Oreochromis niloticus: one gene and its partner. The protein of the gene in region 1 interacts with the protein of each later gene in a biochemical or structural test. Links are inferred from orthologs where the notes say so. Each region holds a gene or a part of one and is shown on either strand. Other genes may lie near its edges.

Region 1 (7,130 bases):
TATAAATGTAACTTTTTAAATGCTTTTTGTTCACAGGAAGAATGAATCTAACATTTTATTGTGAATTCAAATTAAAGCATTAATGAATTATCAAATATTCACCTGATTTTCTGCTGCATCTGGCAGTAAGTGTGCGAAATGTGGAAGGCTACTGCAGGTAATTTACCCACACCATTTTAATATCATGAAACCCCTACAGCTTCTTTGTTTTCTTGTTTTTATCATTGACTATGGCACAGAGACAGCATCGAACTAGACCTCTGCCCAACGTGCAACGAGCAGCGATTACAATGATTCTTAAAGCTTCTCTCCACAACCTCAAACAAACTTAATAGATTTATGTAGTAATTACCATCAGTGAACACAAAATGTATTGTTTAAACTGCAGTGCTCAGCCATATCAGGTCATCATTTAACCATTTATAATGACATTCATTGCACTTTGGGTACCTATTTTTAAAGATTAACACTTTCATAAATATTAATGGAATTAGGACAAAGTAAGTGGAAAATTGTTTTTCCAACTGGTTAGTCGACTAATAAAAGTAAAGTATCAGTATTATGACATTTGAGAAGCTGAAACCAGTGGATGTATGCCATTTAGGGTATTCACTGATCCGCCCTCCCGAGATGCTTTAGCCAGAACCAACGGAAATTCCCAACCACTGAGTAAACCACTTCAAAACAAGCATATCATCTGTTTTCTTTATCACAAAAATGCATCAATTTCTGTCAGATACAGTAACAAACAAACACCAAATGCCTTTACTGTATGCAGACTAGATATGCCTATGTATTTAATCACACCTTCCCCCAGAGGCCTACTCTGAGAAAGCAGAAAAAAATACAACCCTGCCTTTGTTACTTTGTTACACATTAATAAAGGTCATGAAGATTAATGAGTTGTAAAAATAAAAAAATGCTGACAATTAATCTGCTTGACTGGCTAATCCATTGCCTATCTAATCTGTTCAATAATAAAAGATGCTGATATTACATAACAGGGTAAACCAGACATCTGAGTTTTACCTGAAGCAACATCTACCAAGTCTGCACATGTTTAGCAAAAAAAAGATATCCTACAAAGTCTGATTATTTTCAAATAACAACTGGCAATGCTTTTGGCTATTCACTGGCTGGCAGACGGCTTGCAAATATCATCTCGTTTCATTAAACAGGATTACTCTGACAACTCATCACATACACTTTGTTCCCATGCTCACTCACTCTATGTAACCCTCCCACCACTTGATTGCCTTATCAGTATGTGTTATCCCCCACTTTGCTGGAATTAAACTCCAAAGTTCTCCTTATTTTTCCCCCAAACATACACAATGTTAACTGAGATATTCTCATACTCGAGTACTCCTCAAAATTATTATATTCTCTCATAACAAAATACTGTCATACCCAAGTCTTCTGAAAATCCTAAGTCCTTTTAAAAACTGAAATCAGTGTAACATTTTATTTTTAAACATTTCCCTTCATTATAACTATTTTTTCCCCTTTAACTTTCACCCCTTACTTTAGTGCAGGAAGGTCAAACTTATTTTACACCGTGGGCTGCACACAGCCCACTTCCATCAGTGAAACTTTTCTTTTTGTCATTGTAAAGAATTTTAACTACACATTTAGTCTCTGAGATATGTTAATACATAAAAAAAGAAGTACAAATTCAACAGCATGCCTAAACCTTTCTGCGAGATAAGGAAATGCTGCTGTAGTAAATGAAAATCTGTCAGCAGGACTTTTTGGGCTTAAACTGTGAGAAATAAATTTGGATAATTACAGAAAAAAATTGGTAGCTCCTGCAATTATAGACGTTTCATCAATTGATAGAAAACATGTTACTGATTTCTACTGTAGTCCCATTGTAAGAAGGAAAAACAAAACAAAACACTGAAACATCTATAGAAGACAGTAATAAAATTTTAAAAAAAACAAACAAAAAAAACCAGTCACATTTCTGTCACTTAATAGCTTAGGTACACAATGAATAACCATATGGGAGGGCCTTATCAGGAAGAAAAGCTATAAAACTTGGTTCAAGATTTACGCCCTCCTTCACTTGTTCAAATGGTCCAGTGATCCAAATTGGGAGTCTCTGCTGGGTCACTTCTGGCCTCCCAGACCTTATGTTTGCCACCAATGCACTTATTTTACCATGGCCTTTACCAAGTCTGAAGTTTGGTTCTTGTGGTGATTTCTGCCACATCTCTAGATTCCAATTTCCTCGTCTTCAGCCCTGGTTAGCTGTGCTTTGTGGGCAGATTGTGGGGCAGTGGTCTCAGTGTAAATAAATGTAGTGTTCCTCGACTGTGTAGCTCCACTCGATGACTTTAATGCCACATTGTTACCGTGCTTGCTTACTGAAAATGGTGGTCTACCCTCTCCTACTTCAGCAGGACCCGATCTTCCACCGTCACTCCAGAACATTTTGCCCTTTCTTTTTCTTTCAGCATTAGTCTCTTTCTGTCAGCATTATGTCTGTGACATTAACATATTCCCCCTCACGCTTGTTTACCTCATCAATATGTGACTTAATTATAAACCATAAACATATGTCATTATACGCTGTTACACCGCTCTCCCTGTAAGGCCTAAAAGCAAACAGCAGTCTAGTTAATAGTCTAATTACGAGTGACATGACAATTAAGTTTTAGCTGAGGTGCAGACGTGTCAAAGCTCTGGGAGACACAAAAACTACCGCCCCCATGCAGCGGCTTTATGTGTGTGTTTCACAGCACAGGTATAAAAGTATACTGATGTGTTTTCCACGTCTTCCTTTGACTAATGATTCACAGCCCGTCTCCAAAAGGAGATGACAGCGATGATAACATTTAAATGAACTGACGTGATTAGCAGCACTGGTAGCGTTAGCTTCACCGGGAGCTAGCGTCTGCTAACTGACCAGTTACCTGTCTGTGACCGACGAAGAAGCGAGGAGCTGTTTCCAGAGTCCACTGATAAACTCCGACCTTTCTCCTGTCGCGGAGGATCAGCAAAAGCTGGTGTATCAGACTATGTCGGTCAGGGACAAGAGAATTTTTCAAGAGTGCTGATGTTAAACACCGGTAGCCATGTTCCTGTTTGCATACGTTGGCAATGCAATGCATTATGGGAGCGATTCTTCTTCTTCTTTTGCATTTTAATACCGGCTTTAACCTGCTCATTGCTGCTGATTACTGGACTGGAGTCTATGGGGGTTTGAGGTTTTTTTCTTTTTTAGTCACAATCCTCAACCACGACGACGACGATACAGTTTGTAAATAAATAAATAAGGTCACATTTCAGCACTCTGCTATCATAGTCTGATTTATCAAGCAGCAAACTTAGAAACTCATATTTAAAAAACACTTAAAAACTGCACATCAAATTCTTGAAATCCATCCCAAAATTCAATGTGAGTCTTTCTGATTAATTGAACTTCAGTTTCAGTGATAAATGTGAGTTTGTGTTCCACATAGAATAATAATATAATAACAAAATATGCGAATGGCTTCTTTCTCATTGCTTTCTACTGAATCCACAATAGATATCAGAAACTGACTTTCTGCTACAGTGAACAGCTACATGTAAAACAGGAGTAATTAATTGATATTATGATGTTATATATCTCCAGCCATACTCCAGAATAGCTTACGTTGAGAAATACTGCCTTGTCTTACTATGATCTAACTTTGATTGTTTTCTAATGTCGATCAGAGAATTCATCTTTTTGCTTCAGACACAACACACATTCCTAATGCTGAACAGGTTCAGTGTGATAACAGTTTGTCATTCCTGTTATTCCAGCTGTTATTTAGGCGTTTAGCAGTATCACATCCCAAGACTGAAAAATTATGAATTTACATATTTGAAATAAAATCTGGAATTTTTAAACTAAGGATGACATCATATACTGGCACTAATAGTAAACATAATGACATATATTGATGACAATGACTATGGCATGATTAGCTTAAAATAAAGACATTTAATACCAATCAGAACTTGCTGCGGAAAACCACAGGGGGAGAGATAAGCTCAGTTGTGAGCAGTGAGGGATTAAAGTACGTTGTTCTCTCGAGTTGTTAAATAACAATCCACTGTTAAATGTTCACTCTCTTTAACCAATGCTTTTATCTGCTCTTATCTGATCTTTAAAAAAAGAGAAAAGTACAAAAGGGGTGTTGCTGCAGCGAGAGGAGTCGCAGTCTGGATACTGAACATCAACATGAAGGACTCAGTGAGTTTGAAAGTGAGCCTGCCAGTGTTTGTGTTAGTGTTTGAGGTGATCATCATAGCTCTTTATGCTGTCTTTGTCACTTACGATGACGATACCAACGCAAAGCTGCAAAACAATGAGACCAGCCCCATGGAGAACTCCCTCTATCGTGACTACCCCTACTTTGCTGATGTGCAGGTGATGATCTTCATAGGCTTCGGTTGCCTGCTGGCTTTTTTCAGATTCTACGGCTTTGGCGGGATGGTCTTCAACTTTCTCACAGCTACATTTGCAATCCAGTGGGCAATCCTGATGCAAGGGTTCTTCCAGTTTTACTATGATGGTAAAATTCACTTGGGGGTGATCAACCTGGTGAATGCAGAGTTTGCCTGTGCTGTGGTGCTCATCTCCTTCGGGGCTGTGCTTGGGAAGACCAGTCCTGTTCAGCTACTGGTCATGGCTTCTCTTGAGATTCCTATATTTGCTGTGACAGAGTGGGCTGTACTCAAATACATTAGGATCAATGATGCAGGCGGCACTATTCTTATCCACATATTTGCCTGCTACTTTGGTCTAGGAGTGACATTTATGCTCTATCGGCCAAGTTTGAATGATGGACATGCTAAAGAGATCACTAGTTATCATTCAGATATCCTGTCTGTAATGGGAACCCTGTTCCTCTGGGTATTCTGGCCTTCATTCAACTCTGCTCTTACATTTAAAGGTGATGATCAGCATAGAGCAATACTCCACACCTTCATAGGTCTCTCCTCATCCACTATCACTGCCTTTGCACTCTCTGCGCTATTCAATAAGAGAGGCAAGCTCACGATGGCTGATATCCAAAATGTGACTCTGGCAGGAGGTGTGACAGTTGGAGCTTCTGTGGACATGATGATTTCACCTGTAGCTGCATACGTACTGGGCGTCATGGGCTGTACTGCCTGTTTCTTTGGTTACAAGTACCTGACCCCATTTATGGCTTATCGCATGAGGATCCAAGACCAGTGTGGTATTCACAACCTCCACGGACTGACTGGCATCATATCAGCCGCAGCAGGGATCTGCGCCATCCTCCTCGCCACTGAGGAAACCTACGGGCCCAGCATGTACCAGATCTTTTCCCACCGTGCTCCACCTGAAGGAGATCCACGGCTGCTAGAACTGCAGAAGCTGATTCCTGGACTGAAGCCGGGCTTGGGACGCACTGCACAGGAGCAAGCGCTGTACCAGGTGGCGGCTGTCTTTACCACCATCGGAGCCTCTACAGTTGGCGGTCTGCTCACCGGGCTGGTCATGAAGTTTCCCTCCTTGGCATCTCCATCTGATAAGAAATGCTTCGATGATGAGCTTTTCTTTGAGTTGCCATCAGACTTTTCCAGTGTAGAAGTCCCCTTAACCTATGAGGAGAAAGGGCAAATGAATCCCATGGACACCAAAGTCTGAGCTCTTGTACCTTATATTTTTTAACTTTATACATATATACATATATATATATAAATATATATATGTGTGTGTGTGTGTATGTATGTATATATGTATATATATGTATATATATATATATATATATATATATATACATATATATATATATATATATATATATATATATATACACACATACACATATATATTGTGATTTCTAAATATATTAAAAAGAAATTGTTTGCACACATGGTTCCAGTGTAGCACAAGTGAGACTGATCATTATAGATTTTAAAGTGGTAACATCTACTTACATACCTCTTTGTACTGAACTGTTTCCATAAATCTCACTTAGCATTTTGCATACAAAAAAGCAATGGAAAAGTAACAGGCTGAAATATGAACTTTTTTGCAGTATAATGTATTTAAAATAAACAGTTTAATAAAACATGGTTCATTTTATCATTATTGTTATTTAAAAATGTGTGGAATCCGATTTCTTGCAAAAAGTATATGCTTAAATGCATCATTTGTCAAAATGAAAACTGCAGTTTTAATTTAAACTTTTAATTTTTTTTAATTTATAATTAATGTGTGAAGACATATCAACAATAAGCCAGGGCATATTTGACACGCATCGTCCCTTTAGAAATAGATATAAAATAATTTGTTAACTCACTAAAGTGTTACAAATACGACAGGCATAAAATAGAAGCCTAAACATGACATTTTCATAACACGACCATGATAGTGGAATCTGTATTAAAATCTGACATAGTTTTACGGAGTCAGATTGAACTCTAGATTACCTCAAGGATACAAAAGTCCTGTCTATATAACAATCTCACTGTGCTTTACAATCACCAGACCAAAGTATGGCCCATTGTTCAGTCAATGACAACAAGCAACAACGCAGTTTTGTATTTCAAAGCCTGAACAGAAGAATTCACCAAACAAATTAGCTTATATGAAAACATAATCTCCTTTAATGGAAATTCATCATTATCATCAAGGTAACATATGTCATTCAGCATTTTTAACATCATAATCTAATGCTACCTCATCGTTTTACAAATATTTTCAAATTTCATGTGCTTCACATGTTTTGTGATATTTAAAAAATATCAGCTCTACTTTGAAAAACTATTGTCTGGACAAGTGATATAGCCTCTATACAAGCATAAAGAATATATGAGTTTATGTTATCAGCTGGACTTTTGACATCTGGGACTTCTTAATATACATGCATGGTTTATATGCAGGTTTTGTCACACCGTTCCGCAACTTTTTATCTGGGCATCATGGGCCTAAGTTGGAAGTGACCAGTGTGAAATAATATAAATGCTGCATATAAGGTATCATCTCATTCAAGATAAGACAAGATAACTGAGGATGTAAACAAGCACTTCAAACTTGGCTCTACGAGAAGAGAAGATCATAATTTAAAGGTAAAGTGAGTTTCCATGTCCTGCTGTGATTACCTGTATGAATGGGTATG
Region 2 (8,023 bases), on another chromosome or scaffold:
CAGCCAGAATCCATATGAATAATTACATCTGTCACTCAGATCTCGGGGAAAGCCTTCACTTTGGAGACTCTGGACAGGAAGACGGTGTCCTTTGAACGAGAGATCAGAGAGTCTGGTCTGTGGCTTCGCTGTGTTCCTGCTCCTGACAGATGCCAGCACTGGAGGTGGAGAGTCAGAGAAGGCAAGCTCGAACTTCGAGAATGAGACGGATATTTTCTGTTCTCTGTTGTTGTTTTGGTCTTTTGGACTAATTTAATTTGTTTTTTTTTTATTGGGAAAAGCTTTTAAGCACTTTAAAACTTTTCTCAGTGCATTTACACATAGCTCAACATAAATAATCCATTTTGACAGAAATATGGGCAAAAAACCTTAAACACAGGAAAAACAAAGATACCAATCAAGCACTTTATTAGGAACACCACACTGAGTTCAGGTAGGCCCTCTCTTTGCTAGCCGACAGCCTCAGTTTACCTCCTGTGTTGCCAGAGTTGTTCTTCTGGATTCAGACTTGCTGGTTAGGACGACAACGTAGGCCGTCTGAATTCAGTCTCATATTTATAAAACCACGTTTAAGATGAAGGAGCCATTAGAAAATGACTCCTTCCAGTGTGACTGGTGGTTGTTGGTAATATGCTGGCAGAAAGAGACCAAGAAAACATTCCCCATGTTACCCCACTGACACCAGCAGCCTGGGCAGGTTGGCTCATGCTGATTTTGACCTACCATTTACATGGCGATGGATCAATCCTTGCTGCATTTCTGCTATCTGGGCTGCATTTGATAATCTCACCATCCTGTGTTTAGATTAGATAACATGTTTTTTAATCCAGTGAATCACATTATTAACAGGAGCCGTCTGACACTCCATATTCCTGCAGATCCACCAAGGCTGAAAATTCCCTCCATGCCACACATGAACTGAGTATGAACAGGATCCGTGTTTTGTTTTGTTTTTTTCCTCAAGGAATCCCAACACAATTTCTCATTTTTTTCTTTTAGTGTGATATTTTTACGTATTTTTGTAGATGTAACACAAAATATCCAATCCTTCAAATAATGGTAAAGGATCCCTTCAAAATCTCCCAGATCCAGACCTGAAATGATAACCACTTTGAAGTCCCACAGCTGGCAAAGATACACAAACAAACCGAATCAATTGCAAAAATAATCTCTAATTTGTACTTAATAACTAGTTACATGTCCGTTACCTTACCAAACCCCGGTACTTAGCTTATACTGCTGTGTTAAACCAGTGTCATAACCTGCGCCCAGCCTGAGCTGCTCCTTACCAGAAATCCAACAACACATTGTAGGAATCCAGACCTCAGCCCCCGTGTTAGGTCTGTAGTGTGAAACATAATATATTGATGAGCACAGGAGTAATATTTCTGCAAAATAAAATGTAAGAAGGGGCACGGTGGTTAGCACTGTTGCCGCACAGCAAGAAGGTCCTGAGTTCAATTCCACCATCAGGCCGGGGTCTTTCTGTGTGGAGTTTGCATGTTCTCCCCGTGTTTGCGTGGGTTCTCTCCGGGTACTCCGGCTTCCTCCCACCGTCCAAAGACATGCAGCTTGTGGGGATAGGTTAATTGGATAATCCAAATTGCCACTAGGTGTAAATGTGCGAGTGAATGTGAGTGCGAATGGTTGTCTGTCCCTGTATGTTAGCCCTGCGACAGACTGGCGACCTGTCCAGGGCGTACCCCGCCTCTCGCCCTATGACAGCTGGGATAGGCTCCAGCGCCCCCCGTGACCCTGAAAAGGATAAGCGGAAGCGAATGGATGGATGGAAAATGTAAGAAGGATTTATTGTACCTAGCTTGCTCAATATGCAAATACAACAGCTAATATGTGGAGATATGTTGATTTCCTCGTTTTAATAACTCTGTCAGTTTTGTCACGCTCACCTCTTTCCTTCATTTCAGCAAAGTGTTGTTCACATCTGAACGTTGAGCTCTGACAGGATCATCTCTGTTTTCACTGGTGTTAGCAGAACAAAGCAGAGGAACGAGAATAAAAGCAAACATTATGGTCAACCATTCAGCACGGCACTGTAAATGAAGCTTCAGAGTTTCTGCTGCACTGGTGCCACGTGATTGGCTAACTGAATAACTACTAGCACAAGCAGGTGTTCCTAATAAAGTGCTACTTGAGTGTACAAATAAAAGAAATCTTAAAATGTCTATTTTCAGGTTAAACTGTTTCTATATGTTTTAAGTAATGATACAAGTAGTTTACACTCCAAGGGGGTAAACCTGCTTGAATAGGAAATGGTGTTGGTAGAGCTGTAATAGGTTGTGACATCTGTATTTTTTTATTTTGTGTGTTAAGATTGTTTCCCTCTTTCCGTTCTCCTGCTTGTTCTTTCCTTTTATGGATCACTAGGAACAAAAAAATCCGTTCTTTGTATCTCTGTTTACTTTCTGATGTGGAAGAAAGAGTTTGTCATGTCATCTGTTTCATTTTAGAGTTTAAATGGCATGAAGCTGCCTAAAATGATGTGTTTTCCACAATATATCACAAGACTGGAATCTCTTGGTACTTGAATGTAACTGATATTTTATATTCTAATAAAAAAATGACTCAGAGGCACAAAAGTTGCTGTCTTCTGCTCATTTCCAGCTATTGCCTTTCCCAGTCGTTTCTGACTCGGTGTCATTTGAGAAAGACCAGGATTAGACCTGTTGCACACTGTAAACATTGACAGCACTGATAAAGAGGCCCAGCCCTATAAAAACAGATGATGTTAAACACGTGAGGCTGTTACATGTGTTGCATGTGACCAGGAAGGTGTATGAAAACGTTTGCTTCAGCCTGATCCTGTTCATACATTAATTGTAATATAGGTATTGATCTTACACAAATTGTTTTTGTACAGTGTAAACTGTATTTGATAAATATCAGATATAAACATTTTTCCATCTGGGCATGAAATATACAATTTTGCATTATTTGTATTTGAAATAGTTCAGCTAGGTTCCCACTGAAGAGAGATTCATGTTATTAAATGAAAAGTAACTACATGTGACACTCTTTATGACTATAGCAACTAGCTGGCTAACCTTAGCTTCCTTCTCATTGACATCAATAGCAAAAGTGCTATCAAAAGCCAGACCAGTGCTTGCTTTTTGTCCTTGTGTGGTGTTAACTGGTTTTTGACATTACTAATTAACAGACTCCATTTTCTACCCAAAGGTTAGCTGATGATCTCGCTGTTAATGCTGTGAACAGAAGAGTGGTATTCAAACAAGGTTCCCATGAACGAGCACAGCCATCTTTAAACTTTTTTGCAGAAAATTCAAACTGACTCACTGATGTAAAGGTCACTACAAAGTCCCAATTTTTTTAGTTATATTACAAACCCTTTAAACTACAAATAAAAGAGGCTTGATAATTTATTATTAGACTTTTTTTTTAATCTATTGCTGCTGTAAGGCCCACCAAGTGTAAAAAGATATATGCACCTTCCAGAAAGTGTAGTTGACATGGAAGCGCCTTAAATATGCATTCTTTCTAACGACCAGCAGGGGGCGACTCCTTTAATGCAAACACACTTCCAGAAGTTTTTCCTTCCTTGATCTGTGCCCTCAGTAAACTCTTAGCTGGTTGTGCTAAGCTTGTGAGCACAATCTGCTAATTTTAAGTCATACTAAAAAACAACATGAAGTTTCCTCTTTGGCTCATGACTTGTTAATCATAAGATGGCAATTGTTGGCCTGTGGTGTCCACTTTTTTCAAAATACCAAGATGGCAACAGCAAAAACAAAACACTCATCTTGAGTCACCAGCGCTTCACTACCCAATGGGTGATTACGATGACTACATCCATCTTTTGTATACAGTCTACAATAAGGCCTCACATTTCCAGCTTGGTGCTTGAGGAATGTGAAGCTTCTGGATCCTCTGATAGCAAACACAGCCAATAATAATTGCAGACATCAGGTGCTGTTAGCTGCTGACAAGTGTGATTAATTACCATTCTAAAAGTCATAAACCATAAATGATTAAAGACAGTGGTTGTGAGACCCGCAGACAATGAATTTAGTCATGAGAACCTGCAGCCTTGCACTAATCATATAATAGATAGCATTTCTGTGTCAGCAATTTGAATTAACACAATTAAAATAAGTGAGGATCTAAAAAGAAATTTCAGCATATCTCTTCAAGTGAGTCCACAGGGAGGATTTCACTGGTACAAGTCTTCAAAGAAATGCAATTAATCAGATTATGAGGAACGAGATGGAAAGTAAGGCCTAAAAGTTGGGATCAGCCAGGATCTTGAGTCCCGGCATGGAAAAAGGGGCCTCTAAACACAAATAAATGGTAGAACCCTCCACCTCCCTCATACAATTGGAGAGAGTCCTGGAGAGGCCTTCGGTGACCCCAGTGATCACTAGGTTTTACTCAGAAAATGTGCTTAAAAGTAATTAAAAAAATTAAACATCAATAGAGAAGAAAAACGATCAAAAAGTAAATCGAAATGACCGTAGGCAAACATAAAATACAGGAAAAACAATAAACTAGAAACAGATTTTTCTAATGTTGCATTTCCGTGTTTTGTTTTTTGACTCCCTATAGTCCTTGTGTTTATGTGTGGATTTCTTTATTTAATTATCATTATTTGTCTCTTTTGTGGCCGATTTCTGTTTCCCTGTAGTCATTTCTCGTCGGTTAAAAAAAAGGAAAAGAAAAAGAAAAACTCTGAGGGCCCGGTTCTCAGTGTCTGAAACTTGAATAAACTTGTGTACGGCTCACTTCCTCGACATTTTGTGCACTGTGCGCACAAGGCTCTGCCGACACGCTGATTGGACCGCGGAGACATCTGGGCGGGTTATCCGTTACACCATGCGTGCTACGATTGGACGCGGTGTGATAGTGGGAAGTTGCCGTACGCCGGTGTCTCCCTGGTTGCGCAAGACGCCATTTTGGGGTGACAGTGAGAGATAACGGAAAGATCGAGAAGCTGTCGTTTTAAAGGTAATAACCCACATAAACTCGCTTGTTTTTTTTGCTGTAACGCCATTTATTGTACGGCGATTGTCGCACGGTACCAGCGATTCGATTTAGTTTCGCCTGAGCATGACGTCACGAGGTTCTTTCTCAACTGTGACGCGGCATTTAGCTAACGGCTGTTAGCTTAGCGAGCTATCGTGTATCAGATCTTTTAATGTTCACGCCTAAGAAACCAGGCCTCAGTTTTGCAGGTGGATTTCGTAGCAGGTCATCGTTAGATTTATTAATAATATATACTGTAACCGACAGTGGTCAGTAGACCGTAGACGAACGGTGTCGCCTGCTCGTCGCAAGTTAGCATATGCTAGGAAAACTAGCTATCTGGCTGAAGCATCCGCCCTTAGTGAAGCGAACTGTATCCTGTTTCGAGTGCTGGTAACCAGGTAAAGAGAGAAAACTTCAGACTTTACACAGAAAATCTGCGCGTTCACATAGCACAACGTTTCAGCCTTTATTGACACATACTGATATGAACTTTACATTAACTTAGGTTGACCTTATGGTTGAAAGCTAGCGTCTTGTGACGGCTCACTCGTACAGAAACATTATCCTAACCGGCTATTGCAGAGTTTTCTAGCTGGAACAGGCCTCTCTTATCTTTTCATCAGTTAGCTATTCGCTTTATCCACGGTTGTACAGCTTAGCCTCAGGATATGCGATTTTTCTGCTGTTAAATAATTGACACATAGGAAGTTTTAACACTTCTGTAGTGTAGAAGTTAATGGCTGATGTTGGTCGGCCAGAGTTAGCTCTTAACTTAGAGTCGTAGACGAAAGCCTCAGTCATTCGCTTGTGTAAACATTTAACTTGTTCTCCTCCGTGTGTCTCACAATGTACCTCGTTTTTTCGACTAAATATACAGCTGTCATCGAACTGCTCTAATGTGGTGTACCTCTATGAACTGACTAACGATAAAACGATGGTAAATCAGTCCAGATGTCAGCTGTTTTCTCTGATACATTTTCCCTGTATTCACTGCCTCTCACCATACTGCACTGAAACAGATTAACAGCAGACCGTACACTGCCTTAACCCTGTCTCCGTCTCTGCTTTGACAGCTTCATCACCATGGGGAATGTATTTGCGAGCTTATTCAAAGGCCTGTTTGGCAAAAAAGAAATGAGGATTCTAATGGTGGGGCTGGATGCGGCTGGAAAAACAACTATCCTATATAAACTCAAACTCGGAGAGATAGTCACCACCATTCCCACCATTGGTATGGACATTTACATCTATCACTCCACTGTCATTATTGTAAAGAAGCTGTATTTTTAGACTGCTTTGAGAAGATGTTATTAGTTATTTCCCATTGTTATTAGAGAGGACAAAAAAAAATCCTGTTCACCAGATCTTCAGGTCTTTTAAACATCTGACTGTTAATTTGTTTTAATTACAAGGGATACACTGTTACGAAATTTAGGGTCATGACTAATATATCTACTTTTTGGATTTTCTTTTCTTTTTTTTATTGCTATTTACTTCTTACTTTGTTTCAGGGCAAGTAATTAAATCATAATTAAAATTAATGGATCTATTTTAAAGTCTGTTTAAAAAAAAAAACTTAACCAGAAGTGATGTGGTAAATATTGGCCACAAAAGCAGGTGAATGCCATTACCAGTCCACTGGGTGACCAATCATTTTGTAGCTTTAAGCAGTTAAGGTAATTTTTTTTGTGTGTGTGTGTGTGTGTCCAAGTTTAATGCGTTTTGATCTACAGCAACCAGATGTTTCCTTATTTCAGATTTTCTGGACCATTTCATTTTAACAATGGTTTAACAAAGAATAAGTGATAAAATGAGAGTAACTGAAGACCGTTTCTTGATTAAAATGCAGTCATGAAATGTTGACTTTAAAAATAAAGTCATATTAGGAACAAACAGTGGAAAAAAAAATAAAAAAAATAATAAATCGTAGAAATCTTTACCTGCGTGTAGTGTTTGCTGTCGAGTGGTCCAAAGCCTTTTAGTGACTCATCTGTTTCCTCTCCTTTTTTTTTTCTTTTTTTTTCCCTTTCCTTTTCGCAGGTTTTAATGTTGAAACTGTAGAATACAAGAACATCAGCTTCACAGTTTGGGATGTGGGCGGTCAGGACAAAATCAGGCCGCTGTGGCGCCACTACTTCCAGAACACTCAAGGTGAGGTGAAAGGGGGTGTGCAGTGGCATTATCTTAGCTGGCAGTTGTGTCAGTGAGCATTACTGCCCGTAGGTGGCCTCGTTGGTGCATAGAGGATATTAAAGAGACCAATGACTCACATGCCATTGTTCCATTCTCAAAGGGCGTATTGTGTGACTCCTCTACTGTTTCCTGATGTGTAACTCATCAGAATGTATAGGCCTATGCTGTCTTGTGTTTGCCACTCATGATCCGGCTTGTAAGCAAACTAAGTTGAACATTTTGTGGTGTCTTTAATCTTCAGAAATTAATTGTGATTGAAGCCACCTTATTTGCTGCACTGCCACCAGTGCTCCTGTGGTTTCCCTGCATGCATTAGATGAACGTCACCTTCCACATACTGAGCACCCAAGTGTGAAATTGAATGTGTGAATCATTTCAGTGATGATCTAAGACGCAGCATCATTAAACAAACAGCATGTCTGACTACAGAATTTTCTTCTGCAGCAAACAAGGAAAGTTGTGTTTGGGCTAGAGAGCCGAGTATTGGTTAATGATTTCATGATTAAGGTGACAGAAAATTGTTCTTTCCGTTATTTTTCCAGGCAAAAAAGATTAAGGTTCTATGCAAAATTAGACCTGCGGACCATCTCAATCTAGTCTGATGTCCTTAATGGTCTAGCCTCTCCCCAAGAAACGTTTTAAAAAAAAAAAAAAAAAAAAAAAAAAAGACACGACACTTCAGTTTTTTATGATGACCTGTTACATCTTCACTCTAATGGTAAAGTTGTGAATAATTTAAAGTTCTTAGCATGCAAGTGGATTTTTTTTTTTTTGACAATCTAACAGAAAATTCTGTTTAAAGTGTTTCCCTGATCTTACGTTATCTAAGTCA

What was found.
Region 2: the proteins of arfgap1 (region 1) and arf2b form a complex in vitro, tested with the Homo sapiens proteins (2 studies listed by BioGRID, with this or other methods). The link is inferred for Oreochromis niloticus from reciprocal best matches to the Homo sapiens genes ARFGAP1 and ARF1.

The regions. Positions count from the first base shown.
Region 1 is NC_031970.2:24,910,313-24,917,442, reverse strand, and holds the start of arfgap1 (ADP-ribosylation factor GTPase-activating protein 1), read right to left. Parts: upstream 3,130-7,130; 5' UTR 2,919-3,129; intron 1-2,918. Other genes in the region: rh50 (rh50-like protein), read left to right, coding at 4,217-5,653. UniProt on the Homo sapiens protein: GTPase-activating protein (GAP) for the ADP ribosylation factor 1 (ARF1). Involved in membrane trafficking and /or vesicle transport.
Region 2 is NC_031973.2:4,379,848-4,387,870, reverse strand, and holds the start of arf2b (ARF GTPase 2b), read left to right. Parts: upstream 1-4,823; 5' UTR 4,824-4,977; intron 4,978-6,071; 5' UTR 6,072-6,081; coding exon 6,082-6,229; intron 6,230-7,038; coding exon 7,039-7,149; intron 7,150-8,023. Other genes in the region: uncharacterized protein map3k14b, read left to right, coding at 40-204. UniProt on the Homo sapiens protein: Small GTPase involved in protein trafficking between different compartments. Modulates vesicle budding and uncoating within the Golgi complex. In its GTP-bound form, triggers the recruitment of coatomer proteins to the Golgi membrane.